Linked DNA regions of Pelodiscus sinensis. The protein of the gene in region 4 purifies or fractionates together with the protein of the main gene of each other region. This does not show direct contact. Links are inferred from orthologs where the notes say so. Each region holds a gene or a part of one and is shown on either strand. Other genes may lie near its edges. The genes, in order: CKS2, ANAPC4, PKMYT1 and CCNA2.

Evidence for each region.
Region 1: the proteins of CCNA2 (region 4) and CKS2 purify together in Homo sapiens (affinity purification with mass spectrometry; 3 studies listed by BioGRID and IntAct, counting the BioPlex papers as one, with this or other methods). This does not show direct contact. The link is inferred for Pelodiscus sinensis from reciprocal best matches to the Homo sapiens genes CCNA2 and CKS2.
Region 2: the proteins of CCNA2 (region 4) and ANAPC4 purify together in Homo sapiens (affinity purification with western blotting; 3 studies listed by BioGRID). This does not show direct contact. The link is inferred for Pelodiscus sinensis from reciprocal best matches to the Homo sapiens genes CCNA2 and ANAPC4.
Region 3: the proteins of CCNA2 (region 4) and PKMYT1 purify together in Homo sapiens (affinity purification with mass spectrometry; 3 studies listed by BioGRID and IntAct, counting the BioPlex papers as one, with this or other methods). This does not show direct contact. The link is inferred for Pelodiscus sinensis from reciprocal best matches to the Homo sapiens genes CCNA2 and PKMYT1.

The regions. Positions count from the first base shown.
Region 1 is NC_134716.1:47,243,346-47,251,255, reverse strand, and holds the start of CKS2 (cyclin-dependent kinases regulatory subunit 2), read right to left. Parts: upstream 3,017-7,910; 5' UTR 2,892-3,016; coding exon 2,833-2,891; intron 306-2,832; coding exon 178-305; intron 1-177. UniProt on the Homo sapiens protein: Binds to the catalytic subunit of the cyclin dependent kinases and is essential for their biological function.
Region 2 is NC_134715.1:101,835,241-101,842,804, reverse strand, and holds the start of ANAPC4 (anaphase-promoting complex subunit 4), read left to right. Parts: upstream 1-4,545; 5' UTR 4,546-4,688; coding exon 4,689-4,796; intron 4,797-7,564. Other genes in the region: rRNA N(6)-adenosine-methyltransferase ZCCHC4, read left to right, coding at 1,414-1,540. UniProt on the Homo sapiens protein: Component of the anaphase promoting complex/cyclosome (APC/C), a cell cycle-regulated E3 ubiquitin ligase that controls progression through mitosis and the G1 phase of the cell cycle.
Region 3 is NC_134714.1:134,508,825-134,516,062, reverse strand, and holds the start of PKMYT1 (membrane-associated tyrosine- and threonine-specific cdc2-inhibitory kinase), read right to left. Parts: upstream 3,008-7,238; 5' UTR 2,878-3,007; exon of another isoform or gene 2,820-2,877; intron 1,826-2,819; 5' UTR 1,802-1,825; coding exon 1,427-1,801; intron 667-1,426; coding exon 176-666; intron 1-175. Other genes in the region: GREP1 (glycine-rich extracellular protein 1), read right to left, coding at 4,160-4,185, 4,594-4,647, 4,838-4,903, 5,025-5,090, 5,211-5,267, 6,046-6,111, 6,284-6,343, 6,429-6,488 and 1 more. UniProt on the Homo sapiens protein: Acts as a negative regulator of entry into mitosis (G2 to M transition) by phosphorylation of the CDK1 kinase specifically when CDK1 is complexed to cyclins. Mediates phosphorylation of CDK1 predominantly on 'Thr-14'. Also involved in Golgi fragmentation.
Region 4 is NC_134715.1:37,072,342-37,079,272, forward strand, and holds the start of CCNA2 (cyclin-A2), read right to left. Parts: upstream 3,015-6,931; 5' UTR 2,877-3,014; coding exon 2,736-2,876; intron 2,158-2,735; coding exon 1,905-2,157; intron 1-1,904. UniProt on the Homo sapiens protein: Cyclin which controls both the G1/S and the G2/M transition phases of the cell cycle. Functions through the formation of specific serine/threonine protein kinase holoenzyme complexes with the cyclin-dependent protein kinases CDK1 or CDK2.

The DNA.
Region 1 (7,910 bases), on a different chromosome or scaffold from region 4:
ACAAACTAGACATGGGATGCCCATGACTCCAATGCTTCTCTGCTGCTGCTGCTGCTAGTTTCCCCAAAGTTGCAACAAGGCAGTTATCAGTTTTTTGGGTGTCCTTTTAATTCCAAGGATTACCTGTTCAGTCAGTTAAAAATGACTGTTTCATTGCTATGATAGCATTCTACCTACCTGGCTCATGGATCATGTAATGGACCCAGCCCAGACTTTGTTGGACACCAAGTCTTCTCCACTCCTCTTCAGACATTAGATGAGTTTTTGGTACTTGCTTTGAAAGTTCTCTGGGTAACATCACGTGTCTGTTGAAAACATTATTACTAAAAATGTTAACAGTTTCTTTGATAACACCTGTATTTGTAGGCCATAACCTTTACTGCCTTTCCTACAGCAATGTCTTGAGCAGGGTTCAAAGTCTGCCAGACACCAAAAAAACTTCCCGACAAGATCAGGCAACTCATGATTCTGACCACCAGTGGGAAGCCCATTACACTTTTCCCAAGACACTGTTACCCCTCCCAATTTATTTCTGTGACAGCTGCTGGAAGGAAGTCTACCTGTTCTCAACTTTCCTGGGAGTTTTATTCACTATCCTAATAGGAAGGGCTTGACAAACCGCTGATTCTACTCACCCGTGACAAGTAGATTTCAGCCAGTTGCTCCGTGCGCCCCATTCACCGGCGCTGTGCATACGCATGTGTGGTGTGGGGCTGGCAAGTAGCTCTCGCCACGGTTTGTCAAGCCCTCCTAATAGGGATGTAAAATTTTGATATTTGGCTAATAAAACAGTCGATGCCATTTGTATTGATTAGTCAATAAGGATGCTTTGGCCTTTTAAGTGTAGCAGGGCTGTTGCTACACTTAAAAGGCAAAAGCGCTTCAGGGAGCATGGTGCCTGGGATCAATGGGGAGTCCCCAGTTGGCCCTGGGCTGCATGCAGTATTTCAAATCAGCAATCCGGGGTCTGGCCCCAGGTAGTACTGCTGCCTTGAAGCACCCCTTCCCTCTGCTGCTTTTCTGACAAGAGGCAGCAAGGTAGGGAAAGCAACTAGTCAATTAGCTTGTCGATAGTCAACAAGTTGTTCACATCCCTATATCCTAGAAAACATATAAACTGTTTTAGCTCATGTAGATGTGCTAAATTCATTTGATGTGCTAAATCTTGAAATCCAAGAACCAGTAGAGTAGATGTTAAACCTTCAGCTATGTAAGGGAAGATGTAATCATGCACCCTCACCTGAAATAGGAGCTAGTCTACTACAGTGTTTCTCAACCAGTGGTACAAATACCCTCAGGGGTACTCAAGAGAAGGCGGAGGGGAGGGGAGAACACAATTGAAATTTGGAGAAAACTGAATTTGTGTTAAGATTTACAGCGCTTTATTATTTTTGTAGTTTTTACACCCAAACATTTCCATCACCCACCCGGTTACGATTAAGCCATTTAAACAAATGTGTTGCAATGGTAGAAAATTTTGTATGTCTGAAAACTGTAGATACTGGAGGGTACCTATAATTTTTAAAGGGGGTACTTCATAAAAAAAAGTTGAGAAATACTGGTCTAGTGCATAGTTATTAAAGCACTGCGCCCCTGGCAATTATTGCCACACTGTTTAAGAAACTAAAGGAAACTTCTGTATACCTAACCAGATAAGTAGTTTTAGGAAACACAAAACAGCCATGACTCCTGATTTATCACTGCCAAGTCAACTGCTGACCAAAAGGAATATGACCTTTGCCCTTGAATACTAATCTATTTGTACATGTAAATGAAACCTATCTTGGGGAGATAAAATTTAAAAAGTCACAAAACTAAGACATAGGACATTTCATAGGGCACTTAACGGTGTTTACATATTCCTCTCACAGTCCAAGTTGCATTCTGTCTCTCTATTTACAAGTTGGTCTCACAGCATTGTTTCAGCCTTGAACAAACAAAAAAAAAAAAAAAACACACAAGGGGCCTTGGGCTCTCTGTTCTTAACCGGCATATAGAGGTTACCTATATGTAACAGAAGTAGTTACCCTATCATGGCATATTTACTACCAAGATGCAGGTTGTTGTGGGTCTTAATTCACATCAGTGTTAAATTGCCAAGACTCTCCTGCATTGTAAAGCAGCTACACAGGAAAAGGTTGTGCCCACCTCAGGCCACGTGGCCTCAACGATCTTGTGTTAAGGGATTAGGGCAGCAACTACCACAGTCGGAGCTTCTGAAGCAGTGAAAGCCATCAGGTTATAAGGGAGCCAGAGGCGCCTCCCTGACGTTGCCGACAGGGAGTTGCCATTGTTGTCACCCCAGAGACTAGGATCATTTACAAGCAGCAAAACACAGTCGAAACTGCCAACGGCGCAACACGCATGTCTGCTCCGAGTAGGAGAGGGACCTGCGAGGGCGCAGCAACGGCTGCTAAGAGTTCCCTAGTGACTTTCAAGGACTTTTCCCGCGATCTCACTAGCTCAGCTCTGGCGATGCGCGCCTCCTTAGCCGCAGACACAGCGCGACTGGCGCCAAACAAGGCCCGCGAGCCCTTTTAGGGTCCGCCCAGCCCGACCGCCCCAGGCTCCCCTCGCTGTGTCCCCGACCCCTGCGGGGAGCCACTGCAACGGCCGCCCCCTCCTTTTCCAGGGCGGACTCGACGGCGGCTGTGCCAGAGGCAGATGGAGAAAGCCTGAAAGCCCCCACGCGCCCTCCCATAGCCAGAAAGGGAGCAGCAGGGCAAAGCATTTGCGCGCCCTGCGCTTCCTTACCGAAACCCCTACGCGCGGCCCCCCAAGCACAGACAGGGGGTGAAGGGACCAGAGAGGACCGGCCCCGGCCCTACGCACCGATACTCGTAGTGCTCGTCGAAGTATTTGTCGGAGTAGTAGATCTGCTTGTGGGCCATGGCGAAGGCAGCAGCTACAGCGGCAAGACGCAGCTCCGGTTCCTCAGCCTGAGGCAGCGCCCGCTGATTAATAACCGACCCGGTCGGCTTTCCACTCAATTTGAATCCAACAAATCAACGTTTATTGGCGGGTGGAGCCAGCCAATCACTGAACGCGCCTGTCCCATAAGTCAGACGATTACGTCACCCGCGCTCTACCAACCAATTAGAGGCTTTCGGAGCCAAGGTACGAGTGGGACGTTTAAAGGCGGGGTGGCTGCGCGCGCGCGTCCGGTAAAGGTTGGGGGGGGGGGGGTCGGTTTGGGCGCGCGCGTTCAGCCTTCCTGCGCTTCTCTCCAGACACGCGCTTGCCTCGTGAGCTGCAGTGGGCGGTTACAGTTACAGTTGCCGGCGGTTGGGGAATGGGTCGAGTTCGCAGATTTTGCTGTGCTGCGTGTGCAGCTGAGCTCTGCCCCTCCCGGCCTAGCGGCCCGTCCTGCTGATGCGCGTTCGCACCCCTCCCTCCCCTGCAATGGCACCCGCACACTGCAGCGTCCCGTTCAGACAGGCTCAGGCGTAACGCTTCTACGTCTCGCCCCTTGCAGATCCCGCCCCGCAGACCCGAGGCTGGAACCTGGGACTCGGGGTTGGAGCCTGAGTCCGGCCGGGAATAAAGGGTCAAACCCTGGTGTGGGGGGTGGGGGGGGGGGCACTGAGGACCTAGTGTCAACGGATTTATGCCGTGGGAATACTCGCAAGGGCTGGTTGGCTTTGTCCACTGGACAGGCGGGTTTTCACCACCCTAGTATGCGATAGGGTTGGGAGTGTGTTGTTGTGCGCACAATGAACGGATACACCTGGGCGTATCAGGTTTCCTGCAGAGCCGCCTCCCACCCCTCTGCCTCCCGCAGAGGCAGTAGCTAGGGGGACAAGTAGGAGCCAGTCCTTAAGGGGGGAGTCCACTTAAAAGCTGGCTCTCTGCCAGCTTCCACAGAGCCACCTCTCCCTTTCACCTGTGCTGCTGCCTTTCTGTCAGAGTCAGCATTGGAGGGGCAGAGACTGTTTGTTGTCTGGGAGGTGGGCGGGCATTAGCCCCCCACTTCTAAAGGACCTCCCCCCAGCCTACAGGGAGGGTCCACAGAGCCCAGAAAACCAGCTGATCACATTGGACAAATAATGAGAAAACAGGGACCGGTGTGAGGGCCAAAGGGATACAACGAGGGAACTGGATGGGGATACTGAGCAGAGAACCCTGGACAGCGCCCACTTGTACCTGGAAGGTCTCTAGTGAGCCAGCAGACGCCACCCACTGGAACTCTGCCTGGATACGTGAGCGGATACTGGAATGGAAATAAGCCCCATAGTCACAGGCCCCTCAGCCAGCCAACCTCTGTTCCCTGGTTTTATGGGTTGCCAATTTGGCAATAGCCAGGAGAAGGTTGATTAGGAGGTCCTGTGACTTTGTGGGGCCACAGGTGGGGTGTGCATAAATTAACAGGTGGGGGGGAAAGTGCAGCCAGAACCTCAACATACAAGAAGCCAAAAAAGGGGCTGTAACCTGGTACACTTGAGATAGATCTGTGCCAGGGTCTCCCTTACGTCACAAAAGGGGCAAGTGTTAGGAATGGGGGTGAACCGTGCCAAGTACACGCCCATGCTCACCGCACTGTGCAGGATTTTCCAGCTGATGTACCCAGTGGTCTGTGGAACCAAGATCGAATAGAGGCTAGCCCATCAGGCTCCCTACCCTCTATTGGTTGTCCTATTTGAAATTGTGGGAAGGTGGGCGGGCTTTGCCCCTCCCCAGCCTTTCGGGAGGGACAGCTGGACCCACGTTCAACTAATTCCGGGGGACAAATAATGACAAAAGGGGCAAGGAGTGTGGGTCACAGGTTTAAAATAAGGGAACCAAAAGGGGACACCGAGCAGAGAACCCCGGACAGCGCCCACTGCTCCTCAAAGCTGTCGATGGAGCCAGTGGACGCCGCCCAGAGGAACTCTCCCCGGATACGTGAAGCTAGGGAGGAACGGAAATAGGCCCCACAGTCGCAGAGAACCCCCCCGTCCAACATCCTACTCCTGGTGTTGTAAATAGCGGCTTTCGCTAGAGCCAGGAGTAGGTTGACGAGGAGGTCTCGCGACTTTGTGGGGCCACGGATAGGGTGTGCATAGATGAAGAGGTGAGGGGAAAAGTGCAGCCAGAACCTCAGTAGGAGGTTCTGGAGGAGCCGGAATAGGGGCTGCAACCTGGCGCATTCAAGATATGCGTGCGCCAGGTTTTCCCTCACGCCGCAGAAGGGGCAAGCTTCCGGGATGGGGGTGAACCGCGCCAAGTACGCGCCCGTGCTCACCGCACTGTGCAGGATTTTCCAGCTGATGTACACAGTGGTCCGTGGAACCAAGATCGAATAGAGGCTAGCCCATCAGGCTCCCTACCCTCTATTGGTTGTAGGAGGTCCCGGCATGTGGTGTTTGGGCGGGACACAAGAATGGGGAAGTGGAGCGTGTGAAGCACGAGCGTGTACAGGTGACCCTGGCGCAGTTTGGAAGGGGACCGGCTGCAATGCGAGCAGTTGGTTTGGGTGATGAGGGGGAGGCGGTCGGGAAGATATGTGGGACTGGGAGCCAATGGAGAGATTGGGAGGGCTGGGGGTAAGGGGTGGGTGGGGCGCACCCTCTGGCAGGACCCTGTTTGGGTACACCCAAGCAGTGGATGGCAAAGTGTCCTTCACCTCCTGAAGTACACGCTGAGGAGTATGTAAGGTGGAGAGCCCCATGCACTGGGCGAGCACCCTAGGATCCACCCAGTCTCCCTGGTCATAGTCTAGGAGGTCTCCGACTCTGGCAACTTCTGCCAGAACCAACCTCTGGCACACCAAGGGGTACTCCACCACCTATACACATAGGCTGTGTCTACACTGGCAAGTTATTCCGGAAAATCAGCCGCTTTTCCGGAAAAACTTGCCAGCTGTCTACACTGGCCGCTTGAATTTCTGGAAAAGCACTGACGATCTAATGTAAAATCATCAGTGCTTTTCTGGAAAAACTATGCTGCTCCCATTCGGGCAAAAGTCTTTTTCCGGAAAACTGTTCCAGAAAAGGGCCAGTGTAGACAGCACAGTAGTGTTTGCCGCAAAAAAGCCCCAGTTGCGAAAATGACGATTGGGGCTTTTTTGCGGAAAAGCGCGTCTAGATTGGCCACAGACACTTTTCTGGAAAAAGTGCTTTTCCGGAAAAGCGTCCTGCCAATCTAGACGCCCTTTTCCGAAAATGCTTTTAACGGAAAACTTTTCCGTTAAAAGCATTTCCGGAAAATCATGCCAGTGTAGACGTAGCTATAGATGGGGATTGCGTAGCAGAGTCTCCGCAAGGAGGTCTGCCCCCATGGTGGCTCCCAAGGACCTGGTCAACACAAGCAGCTTCTAGACCCGGAGGAAGTCCTGGTGGAAGGCCGATAGCACAGAGAGGTCTTGCGAAGACCTCTCAAATAAAGGAGCTGCTGGTCATATCGAAGCTCTTGGAAGCGGCGAAGGAAAGCGTGCACCAGCGTGCTCCATGCCAGACTACCTGCATCGAATAAGAGTCTCTGCAGGGCCCGGAGGCGGAGGACATGAACCCGCGTGTGCAAACACATCAGGCCCTGCCCTCCCTCCCTCCTCCAGGGGGAGATGGAGAACCCCTGCAGAGACCCAGTGCAGTCCTGGCCAGAAGAACCACAGCATCAGCTGCTGGATATGAGCCAGGAAGCCCCGGGGGCGGGACCAGGGTGTTGAGACAGTTTGGAGGGGCAGGGAGGAGGGCAGGCGGGAGCTGATACGCCCAGGGAATTGTCTTTTAAGTCTGCTCCCTCCTCTCCCCCGCCTCCCACCTCTGTATCCTGCTAGTAGCTGTCTGCCCCCTCCCTGCATGTAAGAGTGTAACCAGTGAAAAATTCAACAGTTACACATTTACCAAAAAAAACATATTTGCTAACATCCCTACTATGCGATGAGGAAAGGGCTAGCGTGGCACATTTTGGAAGGGCACTAGAAAGTGCGATGTGGATTTCTTGACCATACCCCTTCACACAAGGCTTGAGAAAAATGTGACCATATGTATCTGAGTTTCTATGGGCAGTGCCATAACTAGGTATTTTTGTGCCTGGGAGAAAATATTAATTCTGCGCCCCTTCTGCTTAGGTTATTAGACATCACACTCTTTACTTTTGCAGCTTATTTTTACTTTTGCATCTTTGAGCCTCTGATTATGATGTGCCTGCTGCAAGCACCCCATTTGCCCTGCCCTTGTTACGGCCCTGCCTATGGGTCACTCGCAGCTGTAATTCTTTACTCCACACACTGATTAGATCAAAAAGCTCTGAGGTGCTCCAAGCAAGAGAGCGTCTTGAGCAATAGCCATCCCATTTCCCAAGAGAATGCCACGAGGTCCACTACCCAATGGGCCAGATAGCAGGAAATTGATTCTAAAGTTCCCTAGAGTTTGCAGGTGTGAGGAGCTCATTTTTGTTTATCTGTTTAGGTGGCAGTAGAGCAGTGGAGTTCAAAGTGCTGGCCAGACTGGCTAATTCGGCATTGCTGGGTATATCCTGGAATTCAATAAAACCCCTACTGTAGTACATGCTACATGATTGTCCACAGTAAGGAAAGGGGAGAGAGAAAAGTCCGTCACAAAGACTGAAGATTTTTGTTGCCAAAATTTTCCATTTTTTGCAACTTGTGTTGCAATATGAATACTTTCCGGGTTTTGTCACCAAAAAAGGTTTTTTGGTGACAAAACTTGCCAGTACAGACAAGCCCTGGTATTACCTATGCTAGCTGGATTCAGGCTGGCTTGTGTAGGCTAGTCTGTGTATAGCTTTTGCCATATATTTTTGCTGTTGCTGCACTTCAATTTTAGAAGCATAGACAAAGCTCCTGACTTCACCAGCAGGCAACAATTAACCACAGTATTTGTTTTCTGTTAGCTTGGCTACTGGGTATCATAATTAATGACTAAGACACTAATTAATGCACACTGTATTAAGGCTGATTTTCTAGCTTT
Region 2 (7,564 bases), about 65 Mb from region 4:
GTCGACAGCAAGGGAGCCAGAAATGGCCTCCCCTGGTCCTGCAAAATCCTTCATCTGGGACTAGTCAGGTCCCGAGAGTGCTGGACCAAGGATGTCCAACCTGTATCGCTGCTAGGCATAGCCCACCATTTCTGTTTTCCAAAAATTTTAATTGTGGAGTAATACATAGCCAAAATGTAGAGAGAGCTTTATTCATATTTATCCCTACCATATTTCTCAAAGTAGTAAAATCTGCATGAAAATGACTGACCTTACTTTTACATGAAACTTTGTTTGCTTCCAGTTTTGGTGAGATCAAATATATATATCTTTCTGGACTATTGTAGTTCATGCAGACCGTAGTTTACTACTGTATTGTCAATATGTTTCTCCTGATATAAATTATTGGATTAACATGGGCTTAAACACCTGCAAATGTATGTTGTGGTTAGTACAAGACTCTATAGTTATTAATTGATAACCTATTACATAGATAGCATTACCATAACAGATGGAAAAAAATACTTGTTAATTATTTAGGTTTTAAATCCTGTGTTCCATACAGATTCTTATGTTTGTACAATTTCTTCAATAGTAAATTGGGCAGTGCAATTGTTGAACATGTAATGTCAACAATCACCATGTTTTATATTTGAGGTGATCAGATGTATACTTTTAAAAGTTTTAAAAGCATTTGAGTCTAAAATTACAATACTGAGTAAAGATACATCTATAGGTGTAAAATAAATTTAACCCCATGTCAATGTTGAAGTAAAAGTAGATTGTAATATCTCTGCAGAGATAATATTACAATCTTGCAAGTCGAATTTCAAAGGGTATGTCTACACTACCCTCCTAGTTCGAACTAGGAGGGTAATGTATGCATACTGCACTTGCTAATGAAGCCCGGGATTTGAATTTCCCGGGCTTCATTAGCATAAGCGGGGAGCCGCCATTTTTAAATCCCCGCTGCTTCGAACCCCGTGCAGCGCGGCTACACGGGGCTCGAACTAGGTAGTTTGGACTAGGGTGCCTATTCCGAACTACCGGTACACCTCGTTTCACGAGGAGTAACGGTAGTTCGGCATAGGACCCTAGTCCGAACTACCTAGTTCGAGCCCCGTGTAGCCGCGCTACATGGGGTTCGAAGCAGCGGGGATTTAAAAATGGCGGCTCCCCGCTTATGCTAATGAAGCCCGGGAAATTCAAATCCCAGGCTTCATTAGCAAGTGCGGTATGCCTACATTACCCCGCTAGTTCGAACTAGCGGGGTAGTGTAGACATACCCAAAGAAATTTACTTTAAGAGCTGTTGTTCTGACTATATTTGAGATTTTAGTCATAGACAAGTCCTTGTATTTGTGTTTACTACAATGTACAATTCACTATAGCTCTGATAACATGTAATATGTTTGTCTATTCCCTTGTTTTCCAGAGCTGACAGAAAGCGGAGGCTAAAGAAGAACAAGATAAAAATGGATAATGTTAAAAGACCATCTGTGAAGCATGCTACGTTCCCACGGAAAAAAATAAAGAAAAAGAAAAACACTCTTGCTTGTTAATACTCAAGTTACCTAAAACTGTGAATGATTTTACAGCCAATTTTTGCTTCCATTTGCTGTAAATGTTAATATGATATTTTAGATAAAGCCGGTTTGAATTAAAAATGTCTGCTTCTTGTAATATTACCTCAGAACTTTGGCAGTAGGAGAAAACTGCTATCCAAGCTGCTCTTTCCATTTGTGAATATGTTCAAGTGTGATATCTAAAACAGCTTATATACTAGTCTAAACCATGACTGCACTAAAAGACAAAATGGAATAATATTGTACAGGACTTGTAAATTATTGGGACAAGGTTTTTAATAGCTTTTAATTAACTTGATATTGACCTGCATTTTTCTCCTTGATATTGACCTGCATTTCCACCTGGCTCTTTTGCTTTCCAAACACCATCTACCATGCCCATGTAATGGATGGCAAGTCAGCCTTTTGTTCTTTATCTACTGGTATGTTGGTTGTTTCGTGGCAGTAATGGAAACCCGTGTATTATTTCTTCTAGATAACTAGATACATGTAGTTTTTAAACTTTTATCCACAGTTGAGACATTATACAATGCAGAGACAACAAAAATGCAGAGGCTGTTCCCCTCCAACTATCCAGTATTTTTAGCATATCAGTGGTAAACTGGACAGTTTATAGATTTAAGGTCAGAAGGGACCATTGCAATCATTTTGTTTGACCTCACTATTACTGGCCATCCAACTTCTCCAAAATAATTCCTAGACAAGTGCCCCTTGTTATGTGTCAAGTATGGGATTTTTTTAATAATTAAACTTAACTGTATAATTTCATTTACTAGTGAGGAGCAGTCTGCAGTTCAAAGAAACGCATATAAATTATTTTTGATGCTGCGGTAAACATGAATATAGAAAATTCAAAGGAAATGAGCAATGCAATGGAATTAAACTTTCTATAACTATATTGGTTCCATTCAAGTAATTGTTCTCTACCTAGTAGGGATATTAGATACACCAAATATTATCAGCTACACGGTTATTCAGTAGTCCCCGGCAGTGGCGCCAAGAGCCAGTGTGCTCCTAGACCCACTTCCGGGGAGACCCCTGTCACCCTTCAATGCTGCATCTGGTGGCAGGCAGGAGCCAGTCCACAAGGACAGCCAATTAAAAACCAGCTTCTGCTTGCCACCCTGTGCTGCTGCCTCTGATAGTGACAGCAGCAGCCCCTGTCCATGGGGGCCCCAAGTTCCCTGTGGACAGAGGCTGCGCCGGCATTCCACAGAGCAGCCTCTGTCTGCAGTGAGTTTAGGTCTGCCATGGACAGAGGCTGCTCCACAGCAGCATGCTCTGCCCACGGTGAGCCTGGGTCCACCACTCCTCTGCGCTGCTGCCTTTGGGGGCAGGTGGACCAGCTCCTCCCTGAGTGCCGCCTCCCCCCCTGCTCCCTCACAGAGGCAGGAGGAAAGGGGGACAGGCAGCACCACAGAGCTCACTTAAAAGCCAGCTTCCCATGTGCAGTGGTTCCCACCTTCTCCCCTACCCCACACACCCTATGCTGTGCCTCTCTATCAGAGGCAGCAGTGCAGGGAGGAGGCCAGCTGCTCCATGGGATCCAGTGCCCATAGGGAGATGGCTTAAAAACCAGCTCTTGTGTCCCCACACCTTTGCTGCCTCTGTCTCAGAGACAGTGGGGGGGAATGTGTGTAGTTGATAGAATTAACTGACAAACCTAGGCTTATTCGTTAATTGTGTAGACGATAGAGATGTAAGCAAGTAGTCAGCTACTCACTTTTCCCACCCCCCCGCAAGGTGGGAAAGGTTCGAGCTTTAATTCGAGCTACCTAGTCTGTGCCGCATGTACCCGTGGGCAGGTAGTTCAAACTATGGGGCATTTAAACATGGCGGCACCCAGGAATGTGCAAATGAAGCCTGGGATATTTAAATCCCGGGCTTCATTTGCAAGTTTGAATGCCTCCATTAGCCACCCTAGTTTGAACTAGGGTGGCAGTGTAGACATACCCTAAGCGAGCACCTGCGGTCACACTCTGATGCATTTGAGCAATATTTCCCAAATTCAAAAGATCTGAGGGTTGGGAAAGAATGGATCCATAGTCCATTTCTTCCTGCCAACAAGGTGTCATCCTTGCCATTGCTGCAAAAGGATCAATTAGTTGATTGAGCTGGCATGTGACAGAGGACTTAAAAGTTTAATTAATTCATCTTCATCTTCCATCCTTCTGGATTAAAACAAAGGATAAATACCCAGAACTCAGCACCCTAGCCCTCAAGGCTTTGCTGCCATTTCCATCTTCATACTTCTGTGAAACACATTTCTCTGGAATGACTGCTACCGAGACCAGACATTGGAATAGGCTTGACGTGAGAAACACACTGGCTGTGTCTAGATGGGCAAGTCTTTCTGCAAAATCATCTGCTTTTGCGGAAAAACGTGTCAGCTGTCTACACGGGCGGCTTGAATTTCCCTGTCAAGTATAAGGCCTCAATTTGGCTAGTGCTCCCAGACTCCTCACCACCCTTCCTCCCCTCCCCCACTGCTGCCCCAGGCTATTGCCTCCAGGCCCTCTACCTTCCACCTCCCTGCAGGCAGGGTAGCCTCAGTCTTCCAAGCTGGTCCGGCAACTATGCAGCTGCAGACTTTCTGGACCTGGAGCTCCAAAAGACCCATAAGCATGCATGGGCTTCACTGTCAGAGCTGACTCCCAGCTACCTTTCCCTTTCCCCCTTAAAGGTACAGAGGGATTTTCGAACAACTACCCAGGCACCTCAACTCACCCTCATTAGTAACCGCCCCTCGCCGCGCCCGGGAAGGCTGGGGCCGGTGTACCGGGACCCCGAGGGGCAGCGCTGTGGAGCTGCAGCATCTCCCTGCTGCACGCGTTGGGCCGCAGAGGGAATTCCGCGGGGCAGTCCCTTGTGTTTCCCGCCACACGTGAGCTGCGGGGCGCGGCGGCGGCGCAGTGACGAGGCGGGGGCCGCCCCGGAAGGCGGGAGAGCCGGGCGGAGCCGCTTCTCGCGGGGCTGTCGCTGTGCTGCGTGCGGCTGGACGGGCTGTGGGCTCCGGGCGCGGAGCGGGCAGCGGGATGGGGCGCGACGTGGGAAGGGCTTAAGGGGGACGGGGAGGTGAGGGAAGGAGCCCGGCCCGAGCCTGCCGGTGCAGGAGCCCCCCGCCATGCCCGCTTTCCGGCAGGTCGGGGAGAAGCAGCTTCCCCAGGAAATCATCTTCATGGCCTGGTCTCCCAAGAGGGACCTCATCGCCCTTGCCAACAAAGTGGGGGAGGTAAGACGGGGCCGGGGTAACGGGGCAGCTGCAGGGCCCGGCTCAGCGAGCTGGAAACGGCGTGTAAGAAAGGCACCTCCTCCGACAGCGCTGCTGCGCTCCGCCGCTGGGGGAGCGGGGTTCCCTGGCTGACCGCCCCTCTTCGCCCGCAGCCCTGCTGCCTGCTCCCTCCTCCAGTAGTGCCTCAGGGTTCGCCAGAGGCGGCTTCGCTCTCCCTGCCCCTGCAGCAGCGCTCTCCCTGCGGCTCCCGGGGAAAGAACTCCGGCCAGCTGGGCAGTGCTGTGGGGAGGCTAGCACTGGGGGAGGCTAGCACTGGGCTCTCTCCACCCTCCCTTGTCATTATTGACAGCCAAACGGGCCTCCTTATTCTACACGCCATCTTCAGCCACAGGAATAGTGCACCATAGCATGTGTGAGGGTTTTTTAAGCCTTCACATGAGAATGACTTAGTATCTTGGGTTTACCGTGTTGGCATTCCCAGTGCTGTACAGCTAAGTTAGCCGAGAATTCTGTTCTTTCATGCTGTCTGCATCTGTGCAGGAAAGACCTTGGTTTGTTGTAGCTGCTTAGTGTGTTGCAAAGGCAGAATTTAGTGGGATAGTGCTGTGAAGAATCTGGCACTGTGCTAGAACATGCTGTATTTTAAACAGTGAGCAGACCTGTGTCACCCTAAAGACTAGCAAATATATCATGAGCTTTTGTGGGTAGATCCCACTTCAGATGAGTTGGAGTGGAAATGACAGAATCCAGAGTATATAAACAGGAAAAGCAGTGTTAATAACGGTAATTGAGTCAGGCTGGATCTGTCCCATTCATAGTCAGTATTCTGTCTATTCCTCAAGATCCATAAATCTGGAAATCCTGGATGTTTCATCATCTCATGCAATAGCACCCTTAAACAGGATAATCTGGCTACATTGACTCTTTCCTCACGCTGCATGCTACCAGCACTCCTATCTATCTTTGAGACACCACTGACTTCCTGAAGAAACTACAGAACATCGGTAATCTTCCTGAAAACACTATCCTGGCCACTATGGGTGTAGAAACTCTTTATATTGGTATTCCATACGAGAACAGACTACAAACTGTCAGGAACACTCTGATGATGCCACAATACACCTGGTGGCTGAGCTATGTGACTTTGTCCTCACCCACAACTGTTTCTGATTTGGGAACAGTTTATACCTTCAAGTCAGTGGCACTGCTGTGGGTACTCGCATGGCCTACAATATGCCAGCATTTTCATGACTGCCTAGAACAATGTTTCCTCAGCTCCCATCCCTTGCCACCTGTCCTCTGTTTATATTACACTGATAACATTTTCATCATATGGACCTTTGGGAAGGAGACCTTTGACGAATTCCACAGGGATTTCAATAATTTCCACCCCACTATCAACTTCAGCCTGGACCAGCCTACACAAGAGATCCACTTTCTTTACACTACAATACAAATAAATGATGTTCACATAAACACCACCCTATACTGGAAACCTACTGACTGCTATTCTTACCTACATTCTTCTAGCTTCCATCCAGGACACATCACACAATCTGTTATCTGCAGCCAAGCCCTAAGGGTACATCTAGACTACATGCCTCTGGCGACAGAGGCATGTAGATTAGGGTACCGGACATAGTAAAATGAAGCGGCGATTTAAATAATCGCCGCTTCATTTTACTATGTCCGGTACCCTAATCTACATGCCTCTGTCGCCAGAGGCATGTAGTCTAGACGTACCCTTAGATACAATCAGATCTGCTCCAATCCCACAGACAAACACCTACAAGATATTTATGAAGCATTTTGAAAATTTAAATACCCACCTTGAGAAGTGAGGAAACGTTGATAGAGCCAGACTAGTACCCGGAAGCCACCTTCTTCAAGACAGGCCCAACAAAGAAAATAACACCACCACTGGACATCATCTATATCCCCTAGCTTAGCACGCCCCAGCATTTCATTGATAATCTTTAATCTGTACTGGAAAATGACCCCTCACAGATCTTGGGAGGTAGGCTGATCCTTACCTGGGGGTGATATAGGTGATAAGACAGTCCCCCTCCCAACCTTAAGTAAATACCAACCGCCATACTCCTCATCACAGATACACTCACCTAGGAACCTACACCTGCAACAAACCCCGTTGCCACCTTTGTGCACATAGGGATACAAGTGACACCATCGCAGGACCTAACCACGTAAGCCACAACATCAGGGGCTCATACAATTGCACATCGTCTAATATAATATATGACATCAAGTGCCATCAATGCCTCTTTGCCATGTATATTGGCCAAAGCAGACAGTCTCTGCCACAACAGATTAATGGACATAAATCCGGGAATGGTAGCACACATAATCCTGTAGGGGAACATATTAACCTCCCTGGACATAAAAGCTCATGATATATTGGTTAGTCTAAGGTGACACAGGACTGTTCATTGTTTTGAAAGTTACAGACTAACACAGATACTTTGCTGCTGTATCTGAGTATCGTTTTCAGTCTTTGATGACTTTGGGGAGCATCCTATTTTCCTAAAGTGCTTTAAAAATTGTTTGCTTTTAATTGTCAGTATTGATTTTCTTCCTGTGTTGTGTTCTCGCACAATTCTGATATTCTTCAGATGTGTTCTGGAAAAGGGAGATTGTTTAAATGTTTAGCCTGTCACCACAAGATTCTGTATTCATCTTGACATTTTTCATGTTCAGATCATTGGGAGGAAAGAGCAAAAAAGCAATAATTGCTGCTGGAGATGGAGTGG
Region 3 (7,238 bases), on a different chromosome or scaffold from region 4:
TCTCTGGCACATCTGGGTGCCTGGCCTTGGAGCACATGGGGTGAGGGGATGGTAGTGGTCAAGGAAGGGGGTGCGTGGAGTGGAGGCCAGAAGATGGGTCTAGTAGTGGACAGAAGGATTGGGCTGGGAGTCAGACAGGACATCTGGGTTCTATCCCTGACTCTAGAGGCCCCACCTGAAGACATCAGCTGCCTCACTGTACTCCCCCCGCAGCAGCTCAGGTGCCATGTAGCGTGGGTCACCCTCCTGGGCATCACTCAGGTCTCCACGGTCCAACTCCAGCACCAGGCCAAAGTCGCCCAGTTTGCAGACGTGGCGCTCGGTGAGGAAGACATTGGCTGGCTTTATGTCCATGTGCAGTAGCCTGCAGGCATGCAGATGGCGCAGCGCCTGCAGCAGGTCCCAGAGGCAGGCCCGCACCTGGCCCTCAGGCAGCGGTCCATGTCCCTCACAATGCTGCAGCAGGCTGGCCGGGCATAGTTCCGTCTGGATGTACAGTTGGCCCCGCTCCTCCCAGGCCCGCACAAAGCTCACGCAGTTGGGATGGCGCCCCACTTGTTCATGCTTCCGCACCTCGGCCAGCTTGCGCTGTCGGTCGCCGGCTCCCCGGAATGGCTCCACTGAGCGCTTCACTGCGTACAGTCGCCCATCTTCCTTGCTGCGCACCTGTGAGGGAAGGTCAGCCATGGGGGACACAGATTCCCCCCAACAGATTACTTCCTTTCCCCACAAAATAACTCCATGCTCACCCTCCATGCTGCAAACCTGGGGGAGTCTGAATCAGCCACCAGGGGAACAGGCTCAGGATGAGTCATGCTCACCCCCCAGCTGGGATTAAGGATGTTAAAATGTGGAAAATCAGCTAACAGGTAGTGGATGGAATTTCCATTGACTACTTGATTAGTCAATTGGAGGGGGGACGGGGGGGGGGGAACGCTGCCCCCACTGTAGCTCTGCAGCAGGGTTAGCTCCCTGGGGCGGCATGAGCCAGGAGTAAGTAGTCCTTGCTTGTGCAATCCCGGGAGCTAAACCTGCTGTGGCTCTACCTTTTAAATGTCGTAAGAGCTGCCAGGCCCTTACTACATTTAAAAAGCAGAGGCGTAGCGTCTGGGACCAGGTGCAAGCCGGGACAGGTGATGCCTGGCTCGAGTCTGGTCCCCTGTGGTGCCTCTCCTTTCCCTGCGCTCTGCCTCAGCTTTCAAGGGGGCTCTTCCCTCCACTGGTTCCTTCTCCCCCAGCCCTTGCTGCCTAGGATAAAGGCAGCCGGCGGGAGGGGAAGCAACCAGTGGACAACTCGGCTAGTCGCTTATGTCCCTAGATGGGATCCCCTTAATTTCTGCATCTCTTAGCTAGAATTCCTCATCCCAGATGCCCCCAATTCCCACATCCCGTCCCCTGCTGGGATCTGCCACCTTAGCCCTCTTACCTTATACACCTCCCCAAAGGAGCCGCGCCCCAGCCGGCCCAGCAGCTGGAAGCACTGACTGAAGAAGGGCTCTCTGCGGGCAGGGTTGTAAAGGCGGCTATGTGGGGCCAGCGCCCGATCCTGGGAGCTGCGAAAGGAGACGCTGCGCGGCCGAGGTTGGCTCCAGGGCTGCGGTTGGCGGCTGGCAAAGACCCGGCTGACAGTGAGAGTGCCCTTGTGGCGTGGCCGGGGCGGGAGGGTGTAGCTGAGTGGCCGACCCGGCTTCTTCACTGAAAAGCTGCGCTCGGCCTCCCGGAAGAAGGCCGGCACGGGCACGGGCAGGGGCGTGCGGCTCAGCTGGGATTCGGTGCCCGCGTAGTCCAGGGGCAGCGGCATGGCTGGCTCTGCCAGGGGGAGACACTGCAGGGAGAAGAGGACAGCAGCTGGGGAGAGCACCAGGGGCTGGTTGGTGGCTGTGTCTCAAGGTCAGCACCCATTGGCATGGGCGAGGGGTGTGGGGAGGGCAGGATAGGCTCTGCAGGCCAGTCCCTTGGTATAAAAACAGGGTGGGGGACGCCCCGCACGGTCCCTGCCTTGGGCAAAGTGGGGGGCCCTGGCGGGCTGGGTACAGCGCGGGGAGGGGTTCAGCCAGGAAGACACAGGGGGCCAGCTTGGGGGAAAGGGGCTGGTGACAGGGGGGGTCAGTGATGGGGGCTAGCAGGGGGGCCAGTGGGGCAACCTGACACAGCAGGGGGCTCAGTGAAGGGGGGACCTAGCAGGGTGGGGGGGACTCAGTAATGGGGGGAACCCAGTGACGGAGGGGCTCTGCCAGCGGGGGGGGGGGGGTAAGTGACGGGGGGGGCAGCCCAGTGACGGGGGGGCTCTGACAGCGGGGGGGGGGGGTAAGTGACGGGGGGGGGCAGCCCAGTGACGGGGGGGCTCTGACAGCGGGGGGGGGTAAGTGACGGGGGGGGCAGCCCAGTGACGGGGGGGCTCTGACAGCAGGGGGGGGGTAAGTGACGGGGGGGGGCAGCCCAGTGACGGGGGGGCTCTGACAGCGGGGGGGTCAGTGACGGGGGGGCTCTGACAGCGGGGGGGGGTCAGTGACGGGGGGGCTCTGACAGCGGGGGGGGTCAGTGACGGGGGGGGTCGCCCAGTAGCGGGGGGGCTCTGACAGCGGGGGGGGGTCAGTGACGGGGGGGGGTCGCCCAGTAGCGGGGGGGCTCTGACAGCGGGGGGGGTCAGTGACGGGGGGGGTCGCCCAGTAGTGGGGGGGCTCTGACAGCGGGGGGGCCAGTGACGGGGGGGCCCAGTGACGGGGGGGCGGGTTTCTGACAGAGACGCAGTTGGGGGCGCTCGGCGTGGGCCCCCCAGCGCGAGAGAGCCCCCGGGGGGCGGGGCCAAGGGGCCTCACCTCCTCCCCGGTCCCCGCGGGGGGAGGGGGGAGCGCCGCGCTCGCTGGCCGCAAGTACCCGGATGTGGCGGGCTCCCCGCGCGCGCCCCGAGCCGGCCCAACCGCCGCTCCGTTTGGCGCCAAAACCGTCCGGCGCGGCGCGAGCCGCCAACCGTCCTCCCCCGCCTCACCACGTTAGCCAATCAGCGGCGGCGGCCCGGGGTGGCCCCGCCTCCCGCGCGCGTTCACCCCGCCCACCGCAGCCCGGCTCCGAGGGGCGGGGGGGGGAGCGCGGCCGAGACACGTTCCCGCCCACAATGCACCGCGGCAACCAAAGTGTGGCCAAGCTCCCCCCAACCCAGCCCCTTGCAGTAGCAGCCCCCCACCCCCCCTCAGGGCAGCCCCCTCCACTGCCACCCCCCTCTTCAGGGACAGCCCCCCCCAGGGATAGCGATTCCCTTCCCCCGCCTCACCCACATTCACCACCCTCGCCCCCACTCCTGTGGGGAGAACTCCCCAGAGCACGACCCCCAGGTGCCCCATGTCCAGGCCCCCCCCCCCCCCCGGCAAGCCAATGGGGGGGGGGAGTGAGGAGACAAGCTGCTTCGTCAGGTTGCATGGGGGGAGGGGCTGACCAATCACGGTTGGGTGTGGGGTGGGAATCCCTCCACTATGTCAGCTCCCCCAGAGAAAATCACCCCCCATCTCTCCTTGCCCGGGGCAAACAGGACTAGCCCCGCTTGCCTGGACGGCCCCCTGCCCATCCTTCCACAGAGACTCAGCTTTACTTTTTCTTAATGACGATTCTAGCACTATGATGGCGAAGAAAAGCTTCACAACGTGCCTGGAGAAGAGCCAGCCTCTGCCGGAGTGTGCGGAGAGCAAACGCCAATTGCCGTGGGAGGTGTGAACGACAGTGGAACTGGGACAGCGCGCAGGCGTACAGAGATCTCGAGACTTCAGCTTTGTGCGGGATCTTTATTGCAAGCGCTCCCACATCCCACTCTCTAGCTACAAACACATATTCTCTGCCTAGCCAGTAAAAGGGAGTTAACAACCGAGTCACCCCGCTCCGACCTTCCCGGTATTCCTGTACAGGCCTACCCTTAAAACCCCTCTCTCCTCGCTGGCCAAGCCCAAGAGGAAGGGAGGTCAGAAGGGTTGCAGCCTCACTTTCCAAACACATTACATTTACCAGTCACTGTTTGTTTTTCTGTTAAAAAGACAGATCTGTAGCCATTAAAAATAAAGAGAAAGAGACGATAATTTATCTCAGGAGAAATTCTTTGCTTTTTCAGCACCAGAAGCGGTAGGCTTCTGCCATCCTGTGGTGCGAAGTTCCCCAAGTGAAGGTCGGGGACTCAGCACTTCCCGGGAGGGCAGCGACCTGGCATAAAGAGAAGCATGAGGTCAGAGCTTCAAGAGAGCAGCACATCTTCAAGGGTGAGTGGAGACTAGTGCATCCACCCACACATGTGGGGATAGAGAGCTATTCCTTCCCAGAGCCCCTGCCTTCTCTTTCTCTAGATAACAGGGCATTGATTCTATATGGGATATACCATCATCCGTCTTACCTGGGCTGCGTTCCTCCTTACCCAAATACTGTACTCTTCCTGAAGTTCACCCTGCTGTGACATTTGCAGCCACTGCCCATGTCAAGCCCTTAGCCAAACTGCAGAGATTTGGCTCCTTTAGCTTGTGTCCTCCCCCAAGATAATCCCCTCCAAGAGTCATAGCTCTTCCCTGTTTCCAAGATTCACCCCCCACCAACACACATGCCTTCCCCAATTCTTACCTCTGTATCCATTCCCCAGAAAGCCGTTCAGCCCATACTTGGCCTCCTTGCTTCCTAGAAGCGGGTGGGAGCAGATGAGAATTGGTCACTGGCCATCCCCGTCTGCTACCCAAAGGAGAATGACTCTCTCTGGACAGCAGGGGAAGGCACAGGACACGCATGCAAGAGCAGTTTTGGTTGCATCACAAGACAATAGGATAAAATGTTGCGTCTCTCCCCCACTCCCCCCCACACACACTCCTACCATATGCTGCTGGGGAGAGTCCATAGCCTCCAGGAGCCTGCCCTGCTGTGAGTGGCCCGTATCCCCCTGCAACAGCGACAAGAGTTATCAGGAGGGGTGGAGTGGAGTGGGGCAGGAGCAATGGCTGTGGGGGGAGCTCCCAGCTCCCTCAGTCCCAGAAGCAAATGGTGCAGGGTGGGGATCTTACCAGCAGCCAGTCCGTTAGCCTGCAGATCCCCTCCGTTTGCATGTCCCAGTCCATTCCCGTTGCCTGCTGGGGGAGGGGGCAGGAAATTAGCACAGGAAGGGGCTTTGAGCCCCTGGGGATGAGTATACATGTGTCCAGAGGCAAGGGGGGACCCATGTGACTGGACAGCCCCTCACCATCTCTTACCATCCAGGGAACTGGGCCCAGCCTGTTGTGCCCTGTACATTAGTTGCCCTGCACCACCTGGAGGAGGAAACATGGTAGTGTTGGTGAGTGGAGATCTCAGCACAGGGACAGGAGATTGCACTGCCTACGGGCAGGGCGGGACGGTATGCTGGGAACCAAGGGAGCTGTCACTGCGGGAGGCTCCAGGATCTACTGGTAGATCCCAATCTACTGGTTGGTGACCACTGGTTTAGGCAAAGCAGGGTTGGCAAGGGGCATCCCAGCCCCCCGCCCACATCCCTGCACAGGGTGGGGGTGGGACGAAGATACTGGGCGGCATGGCACAGATTGCTGTGCACCGAGGCATGTGTGGATGTGCACTACCAATAGAAACACATGTAGGCGGCTGTGGGCACTCTGCCAGTCAGCTGGGCAGCATTTCAATGTTTTCTAGGAGGCCACCCAAGAGCACAGCTTACTGGGGACACTGCTGCTGCACCTGAAATAAATCTTCTGGGGGGGGGTGTCTGCCCTTCACACTTCCCTCTATAGCAACTCTATGGACAAGTTCACCCACCGTAGGAGCCCAGAGCCCTTACTCACACCTACCTCATTTCCCAGCACCATAGTCTCCCCCCAGACCAATGGGCATGGTCTCTTGGAACTGCCCATGGTCTGGGAGCTGGCCCAGGCCTACAGCATGGACAGGGTGTCAGGATGGGGGGCACACTCCTTTGCCCCTCCCTCAGCCAGCCAGTCCCCCGTACTGGGTTTGGATTGGAGCACAAGGCCCTGTGTCCCGTTTCCTACTTCCCAGAGCTAAGCAATTCCTGGCTCTGCGGTCAGAAGGACTCACCATATTTAGCAGCTGAGAGATCTGTGCTAAGGCTGGCAAAATGCCCTAAGTAGGTAGCCTGGGCACCTGGGGATGGAATAGATTAAGGCAGTTAGCTTGGCTTGTGCACCTCTGTTCCAACCCACAGCCCTGGATTCCCCCCACAGCTCGGCCAGAACCCCTCATTCCTGCCCTGCAGCCCCCTGCCAGCCCAGCCCTGCCCCGCCCCTCGCTCTCCTCCCTCTGTCACTGGGCACACCGTTGCCATATCCTGACTGGAGTCCGGCCCCAGGGTGACTGTTCCCTCCTGCACCGTAGCCTAGAAGAGAGATGGGAGATCAGACAGGCTCAGCCTGGATGTGGAGGGGGGGCGGGAAGTGAGGTACAATTTGTGGTCCTCTTACCATTCCTGTATCCTGGCTGTGCCCCATTGGCCAGGTATCCACCGCCTACTCCAGCGATTCCTACAGAGCAAAGAGAATCCAGATTGGGGTGCACTGCTCCAGCCCTGGCCTCTCCCAGTAAGGGGTGCTGTGGGGGGTGCCGTGGGGAGCAGGGTAAAAGTGCTAGCAGCGGGGGGGGGGAGCCCCTTCTACTCCAGCTCTGGCTCTCTCAGCAGGGGGTGCTGTGCTTAGCTCATGCCCCTTACCTTGTTGAGCTGTGGGGTAGCTGCCAACTCTGGGTCCTGCCCCATAACCTGTGGGGGGGAGATCCCAGAATGAGACCAACCTAGAGCACAGAAGAATCTGGCTTCTGCACTGTGGGCTCTGGCACTGGAGGCTGGAAGCATCGGGGCGGGGGGTGGAGAGGGAGGGGGCTAGCAGTGAGGGGGATGGTTAGCAGGGGGCTGTGGGTTTTGGAGGCAAGGATAGATAAATCTCTTTCAAACCCTTCAGGCTGCTCGGCAGGTGAGCTCCTCTCTGCCCAGGGAGGGGAGGGGGCATGGCAGTTGGGCTCACCTCAGGGTGCCAGTGGTGTGAGCAGTAGGGATCTCTAGACAGAAGGAGAAGAAACAGCTGGCGGGAGCGGGGGAAGAGGACAGCCTGCGGGGCACGTGAAGGGTGGAGACACTGGGGCAAAGGACAGAGATGGGGCCTGCACGGGGTATTACCAGCACTGGGGCCTTTGCCACCCCCCAAGGCCTGTGGGAGAGGAAACGCAGAGGCGTCAGCGTGCGTGGGAGGGGTGTAGTGCAGGGCGGGCCAGAGGGGTAT
Region 4 (6,931 bases):
GCTGCTGGCCCCACAGACTCCAGCCCCGACTGGGGCTGTGCTCCCCTGCCACCAGCCATGACTGGGGCTGCATCACCTACCCCCCCCCCCACACACTCCTCTCACACCAGCCTCAACCAAGGCCATGTTTCCCATCACACCAGCCCCCGGTGGTGCTGCATTCCCCACATCACCAGCCTCAGTGCAGTTATGCTCCTTGCCACCAGCCCTGGCCAGGGCTGTGCTTCCCACCATGCCAGCCCTGCTGGGGATGTACTCCTCACTGCCAGCCAGGGCTCTAATCCAACGAAATCCATGGTCCATCACTGCCAGATCAGAGAGTCCTGGATTTTAGAGGTTCCAACTGTACTTTCCTTTACGCGAACCCCCTCACACCTGCACATCCCTTTGTAGTAGAGGGCCATCCCAATGAATTCAAACATTTAGATGCCCTTACTTTCAGATTAATTTTGCAGTCCCCAGTTCTTGTCTCCATGTCTAATGGAGACAGCTAATGCAGGCAGATACCAGCCTGTCAGCCAGATCCAGTCCCCCAAAGGCAAACCCTGGTGGACTCTCGCTGTTACATTTACCTGCGCCTCCACAGCTCTATTGGCCAGGAACAGTGATCTGCAGCCAACGAGAGCGGCAGGCGCCAGTACCTGTGGAGGCGCAGGTAAATATGGTGGCAGCAGCCCACCATAGGCTAACCATGGCAAATGGCCATTGTTTTATTGCCCCCTCCCTGAGCCAGAGCCACCATTATTATCAGTAGTCTATGAAAAGTTCGTTAGGATTTTGAGGTTTTTCTTGTGTTTGATAAGACTTGTAACTTTCAGTCCTAACTACATATACATATATATACACACACATATACATAAAAACCTCAAGAAATGAGCTGGTAGCACTTTATAGGCTAACCAGACATGTAGATGGTATCATGAGCTTTCGTGGGCACAGAACTCCAGTCATCTGAAGAAGTAGGCTGTGCCCACGAAAGCTCACGATAACATCTACATGTTTGGTTATTCTATAAAATGCTACCAGATTATTTCTTGGTTTCCCCCCCTCCCTGTATAGACTAACTCAGCTACCCCCTGAAGCTTCTGTACATTTATATAGTACCCAGTTAAATTAGTCTTGTATGGAGGAAGCCAGTACAAGCTTCACCTCCCCAAATGGGAATTCTCTGGTCCAGCAATGGACCATGTATATTCCTGGATCAGAGAATCCAAGTAGCAGGAGGGCAATTTAGGAAGGGCTGGGCTGAAGCAGCTGGATGGGGCAAAGGGTGCAGCCCACAGCACTGGGACAAGGTCAGGGCAGCCCCCAGCAGCTCAGGACCAGGCTAGCAACATCCTGTGGCAGGGCAGTAGCAATGTCAGAGCCCGTAGACTGCTGTGGGGCAGGTGCCCAAGCCTTCAGCAGCCCACTGGACTAGGGCTAGCAGCAGTGGGGCTGGAACCCTGGGCAGCCTGCAGAAGTGGGGCCAGAGCCTGCGTGTTGCCATGGAACTGGGACTTGAGCCCAAGCCCTTAGCAGCCTCAGCAGGGCCAGAGCCAACCTCCAGCAGCCCACAGTAGCATGGGACTGGAGCCTGTGGAAGCCTACAGCAGTACAGGCTCCTGGGCCCAGCAGGTAGTCTTCTTGCCAGGGCGGCAACAGCAGCAGGGCCAGTAACCCAACTGGCAGTCCAGCCAAGGCTGGAGGTAGTAAGGGCCCTTCCCGGAGCTGGCAGAGTCAGCAGCTCAGGGCTGTGGCAGGGAACCTTCTCTGGTCCAGCAAATTCCTTGGTTTGGGACTAGTCAGGTCTTAGGGTGCTGGATCAGGAAGGACCCAACTGCACAAGAATCCAGTACTGAATTGAGCATGCCAATTTCGAAGACAGAATCTCTCTTATTACACCATTTTCTGTAAATACTTACCAAAACTAAGATCCATTGGATTTTCTATGGGTGCCAAGGGTTTTCTGTCTCCTAGTGAGGTTACAGCTGTAGCTAAGCCTAGGACTTCTTCATGGGATACTGCCTTTTTAGGAACCGCTTGCTTCTTTTTACGCTCTCCATCAGGCTCATCCACATGGATGGTAAAAGCAGGCTGTTTGCTACCTGCTTTCCCAGCTGGAACCTTGCCACAGTTTTCATCAGTAATACTCCAGGGTGCTTGAGCAGCAGCAGTCTAGGACAAGAGTTGGCCATTAGTGTTTCCCGGGAGCCCTCCCCTTCCTCCCAGCAAGGCTGGGGAGCCCCAAGTAACAGCAGCACAAATCGCGCCAGGTTTCCAGCGCAGCCCAACGCCCCGCGGTTTGTATCGCGATTTAGGGCTGTCGACAGAGGCCCCGCGGCGCTGCTCAGAGCCGGTCAGGTCGGGCCTGAGCAAGCCGCCTGCCTGCCAGCGAGGAGCCGCCAGCGCGCGCGCGGAGGGGAGGCCCGCGCTCCGCGGGGGGGGGGGGGAGGGGGGGGTCGTAGCCTTGCAGGGGCCGCGCAGCTCCCGGCAACGCGGGTGCATCGCTCTCTAGGCTGCCCCCCCCCCCCCCGCCCGGCTGCTGACAGCTCGCGGCTCCGCGGGGCGCCGCGCAGGGAAGCGCGGGCCTAAGATGGCGGGCGCCAGGCTGCTGTTCCCAGCGGGGGGACCCCGAAACAGGAGCCCCGGCCCCGCAGGGGGCAGAGCCCCGGTGCAAACCCCCCCAAAGACGCGGGCACGGCCGCCAGCCGAGCCCCGGAGCTGCCCCGCCCCGCGGCACCACCCCGCCTTGCCTGCGGCTGGGCCGGGCGGCGCTGGTTGCCCCGCAGCAGCGCCAGCACCGGGCGGCCCCCGGGGGGAGCGGCGGGCAGCCGCGCTTTGCCGCCGGGGGGCACATTCTCCTGGTTCTCCTGCTCCGCGGCGCCCGTCTGCATCGTCCCCGGGGCGCGGCAGCCGCGTGCACGAAGGGGGGCTCGGCGGGCACCCGGCTCCGCGGCCGCTCCCTGGAGGCAGAGGGGACTCGCGCTGCCGGCGGCTCCGCCAGCCCGCTCCGCTGCCACCGTTCAAGTAGCCCGCCGCGACTATTGAATCCGCCAATGGGGAGCCCAGGGCGCGCACGTCACGCCGCCGACGGCACGCCGCAGGGCCCAAACGGGCCGCGCTGGGGGCGGGGCGGGGGAAGAGAAAGAACGCCCGGGGCGGGGGAGTGGTGACGTCACTGCCCTAGGAGCGCTGCGGCCCCGATCCCGCACCGCTCGGCACGTGGTCGCGGGGGGGAAAGGAGGGTTGGGGGCGTTCGGTGCAGATTCACGCCCGTGGGCTCGCATTACACTTTTAACTCTCCTGCCCGGCGCGGGGCCTGATCCGAGCCCCGTTTGGAGGCCATGAAGATTCGTACTCGACTTCAATGGCCTTTGGCTCCTCCAGGGTCCCAGACTCAGGGGTAGTTTTAAATATAAAAAACATGCGAGCTAGACTCTGCCCCAGCGTGAACCAGCCCCCCATTCGCTGTTTGTTGCCTATCACTAGGAATTGTTTGCCGCCTCTCTTTTTGCTAGCAGGTGTGCTGGAATAATTTGTATGGGGGGGGGGGGGGTGCTGAGAACCATTGAACCTAACTTAAAATCCCTAATCTACTGAGAATCACTTTCCCCTCCCATGCCCCTGATTCCAGTTCTACATAAGGAAGGACCCAAGAGCTGGTTGGGAGTTGGCTTTCTAGAAAAAGAATTCCTTTTTGCCCCTGTATAGGTAAGTGATCTTTTATTTCAAATGTCTCAGAAGGGTAGCTATGTTAGTCTGTAACTTTTAAAACACTTAGGCTACGTCTGGACTGGCCCCTTCTCCGGAAGAGGCATGCAAAGCAGGCAAGTCAGAATAGGGAAATCCGCAGGGGATTTAAATATCCCCCGCGGGATTTAAATAAACATGGCTGCCGCTTTTTTCCCGGCTTGGGGAAAAGCTGGAAAAGAGAGTCTAGACTGGCGCAATCCTCCGGAATAAAGCCCTTTTCCGGAGGATCTCTTCTTCCTACTTCCAGAGCTAGAGCGGCTACATTGCCATGTGCTTTTGTGCAAGAGCATCCATGCCAACGTAGATGCTCTCTTGCAGCAAGAAAGCGCTGATGGCCATTTTAACCATAGGGCTTTCTTGTGCAAGAAATTCATGTTGCCTGTCTACACTGGCCTCTTACACAAGAACAGTTGCGGAAGAGGGCTTATTCCTGAGCGGGAGCATCAGAGTTCTTGCGCAAGAAGCACTAATTTCATACATTAGAACATCAGTGTTCTTGCACAAGAACTCACAGCCAGTGTAGACAGGCAGCAAGTTTTTGCGCAAAAGCGACTGCTTTTGTGCAAGATCGCACCAATGTAGACACACCGCCGGTCTCTAGGGGCCACAGAACTACTAACAAAAATATATATAGTATCGTGAACTTTAATGGGCAAAACCCAGTTCAGATGAGTTTGCTGAAGAAGTAGGTTTTGCCCATGAAAGCTTATGACACTATAAATATTTGTTACTCTCTAAGGTGCCGCAGGACTACTCCTTGCTTTTATTTCAGGTTACAGGCAGTCCCCGGGTTACTACAAGATAGGGACTGTAGGTTTGTTCTTAAGTTGAATCTGTATGTAAGTCGGAACTGGCGTCCGCCTGCTGAAACTGATCAGTTTCAACCGCAGCTGAATCTGGACGCCAGTTCTGACTTACATACAGATTCAACTTAAGAATCCCAGGCGTCCCCAAGTCAGCTGCTGCTGAAACTGATCAGCGGCTGATTCCAGGAAGCCTGGGGCAGAGCAACTCTGCCTGGGGCTTCCTGTAGTCAGCCGCTGGTCAGTTTCAGCAGCGGCTGACTTGGGGACGCCTGGGGCAGAGCAGCTGGGGTGCTGCTGGGTTGCTCCAGTAGCGCGGCTCCTCGGCATTACTGGAGCAACCCAGCAGCACCCCAGCTGCTCTGCCCGAGGCGTCCTGATTCAGCCGCTGCTGAAACTGACCAAACCGGCAGCCCCCAGCTGCTCAACCCCAGGGGTAGGCAAGAAAAGCCTGGTCTGCTGGGGGGGGGGCACTAGCTGCACCCCACCCCAGCAGACCAGGGAGACGGGGGTGGCGGGACCGCCCAAGTCCTCCACGGCTTTGCTCCGTCTCCCTGGTCTGCTGACCTGGGAGACGCGGAGCAAAGCCGCAGAGCACGCGGGCAGCGGGACAGTCCAGGCGTGCCCGGGCTGTCCCACTGCGGGCGTGCTCCGCAGGTTTGCTCCCCTTCTCCCTGGTCTGCTGGTCAGACCAGGGAGACGGGGAGCAAAGCCACGGAGCACGCCCGCAGTGGGACAGCCCAAGCGCGCCCGGGCGTGCTCCGCGGCTTTGCTCCTGTACCCCTGGTCTGCTGGGGGGGTCCAGCAAAGCTGCTGGACCCTCCCAGCAGACCAGGGAGACCGGGAGAAGCTTTTCTCGCCCCGGAGGACACGGGTGGCGACCTGCCGCCCGTGAGCTCCGGGGCGAGAAAAGCCCCGTTCGTAAGTGCGGATCCGACATAAGTCGGATCCGCGTAAGTTGGGGACTGCCTGTACTGATTCATTTAATGTTATTATTACTACTCATATTTTATCATCTTTATAGACAGTTTTCATGCTATTAAATGGCACAAAATGGTTGATGATGCTGTATGTGAAATCTTTCTTATTATAAGGGCACCATTTATAGTGCTTATTTCTCAATAATCATTTACTTTGCTCTAACAACATAAATTAGAAGTGATTCTTGTAAAAGTTCTTAGTATTACAAAACCACCTACATATACAGACCTTTACTTATAGAGTGAATTTTGAAGTGTGTGGTAAATGCTAGGAGATTTGTAGTGGAATTTAAAATCACAGATTTCATTTTTATGGCTTGAGACATTTTCTGGGCTGTAATATTTTAAAACACAGATGATATAAATAAACTAATTAAAAGATTGGCCTATTACTACAGTTAATGTAGTGCTTGTGTTAAAAATACTGGACTTATAGTACACAAGACTGAAATCTGTTTTTTCTTCAACGCTAGCACAGCAATGGCACTAGAAGTGTAAGTTTCCCTATTCTATCACATTAATGTAACCATCCATTTCTGGAGATATCACTCGTGGGTGTCAAAAAATAATTAGGTATGTCCCATCCCTCTACGCTACTGACACTGACATAGATACCAATTGTGATAATATTCTCTGACAACAGCTATCAACTAAACATTGAACACAAACCATCGCAACTCATTTCACCAACTTAAGAGACTTCAGGATCACACCTTTATAGGGAACATGGAATCACTGTCCCCATTCCCACTTACTAGTTGGTTTTTGTATTTTGAGGAGGGAAAGCAGGAAATAGTTACTTTGAGTTAACTCATTTTTATTTGTATTTAATAAAAAATGATTTTCTATTGCCTGGTAGATCAAAAGCCAATTGATCTAAACAGACAAAAATACTGTTAAGATTTAAATTAACTGCTCTTGGTTTTTTTGTCCAAGGAAAATACTGCTTATATAACATTGAAAATGGGGGGCAGTTTCTATGACTAAGATGGTGAAAAAATTTCTAGCTATGGAAGTAAAAAAATAAGACTTTTGAGGTTTATCTGTTTCACTTAATAATTAAATGTGCTTATGCCTTTGAGTATTTAACCATGATCCCATACGACATTTAAAGTAACATTTATTAATTAGATGTTCAGGATATTCATACATATCATTTTGCTTTCTTTCCTCCCAAGGAGCTTTTGGATGATTTTACACTAATTTTTTCTGTGGTAATATATTTTATGTGAATATTCCATTTTCATTGTAATTTTGATATTGAAACTGTAAAAATGTTATAAAATGATATTATTGCTGTTATTTTGGTAAACAATAGAAGAAAATAGCTGTAAAAGATAAATAAAAGGCATGGAATCAAAACACACTCATTTTACATTGCGAGCAAGTTTTAGTTACTTGAAGATGAGAAAT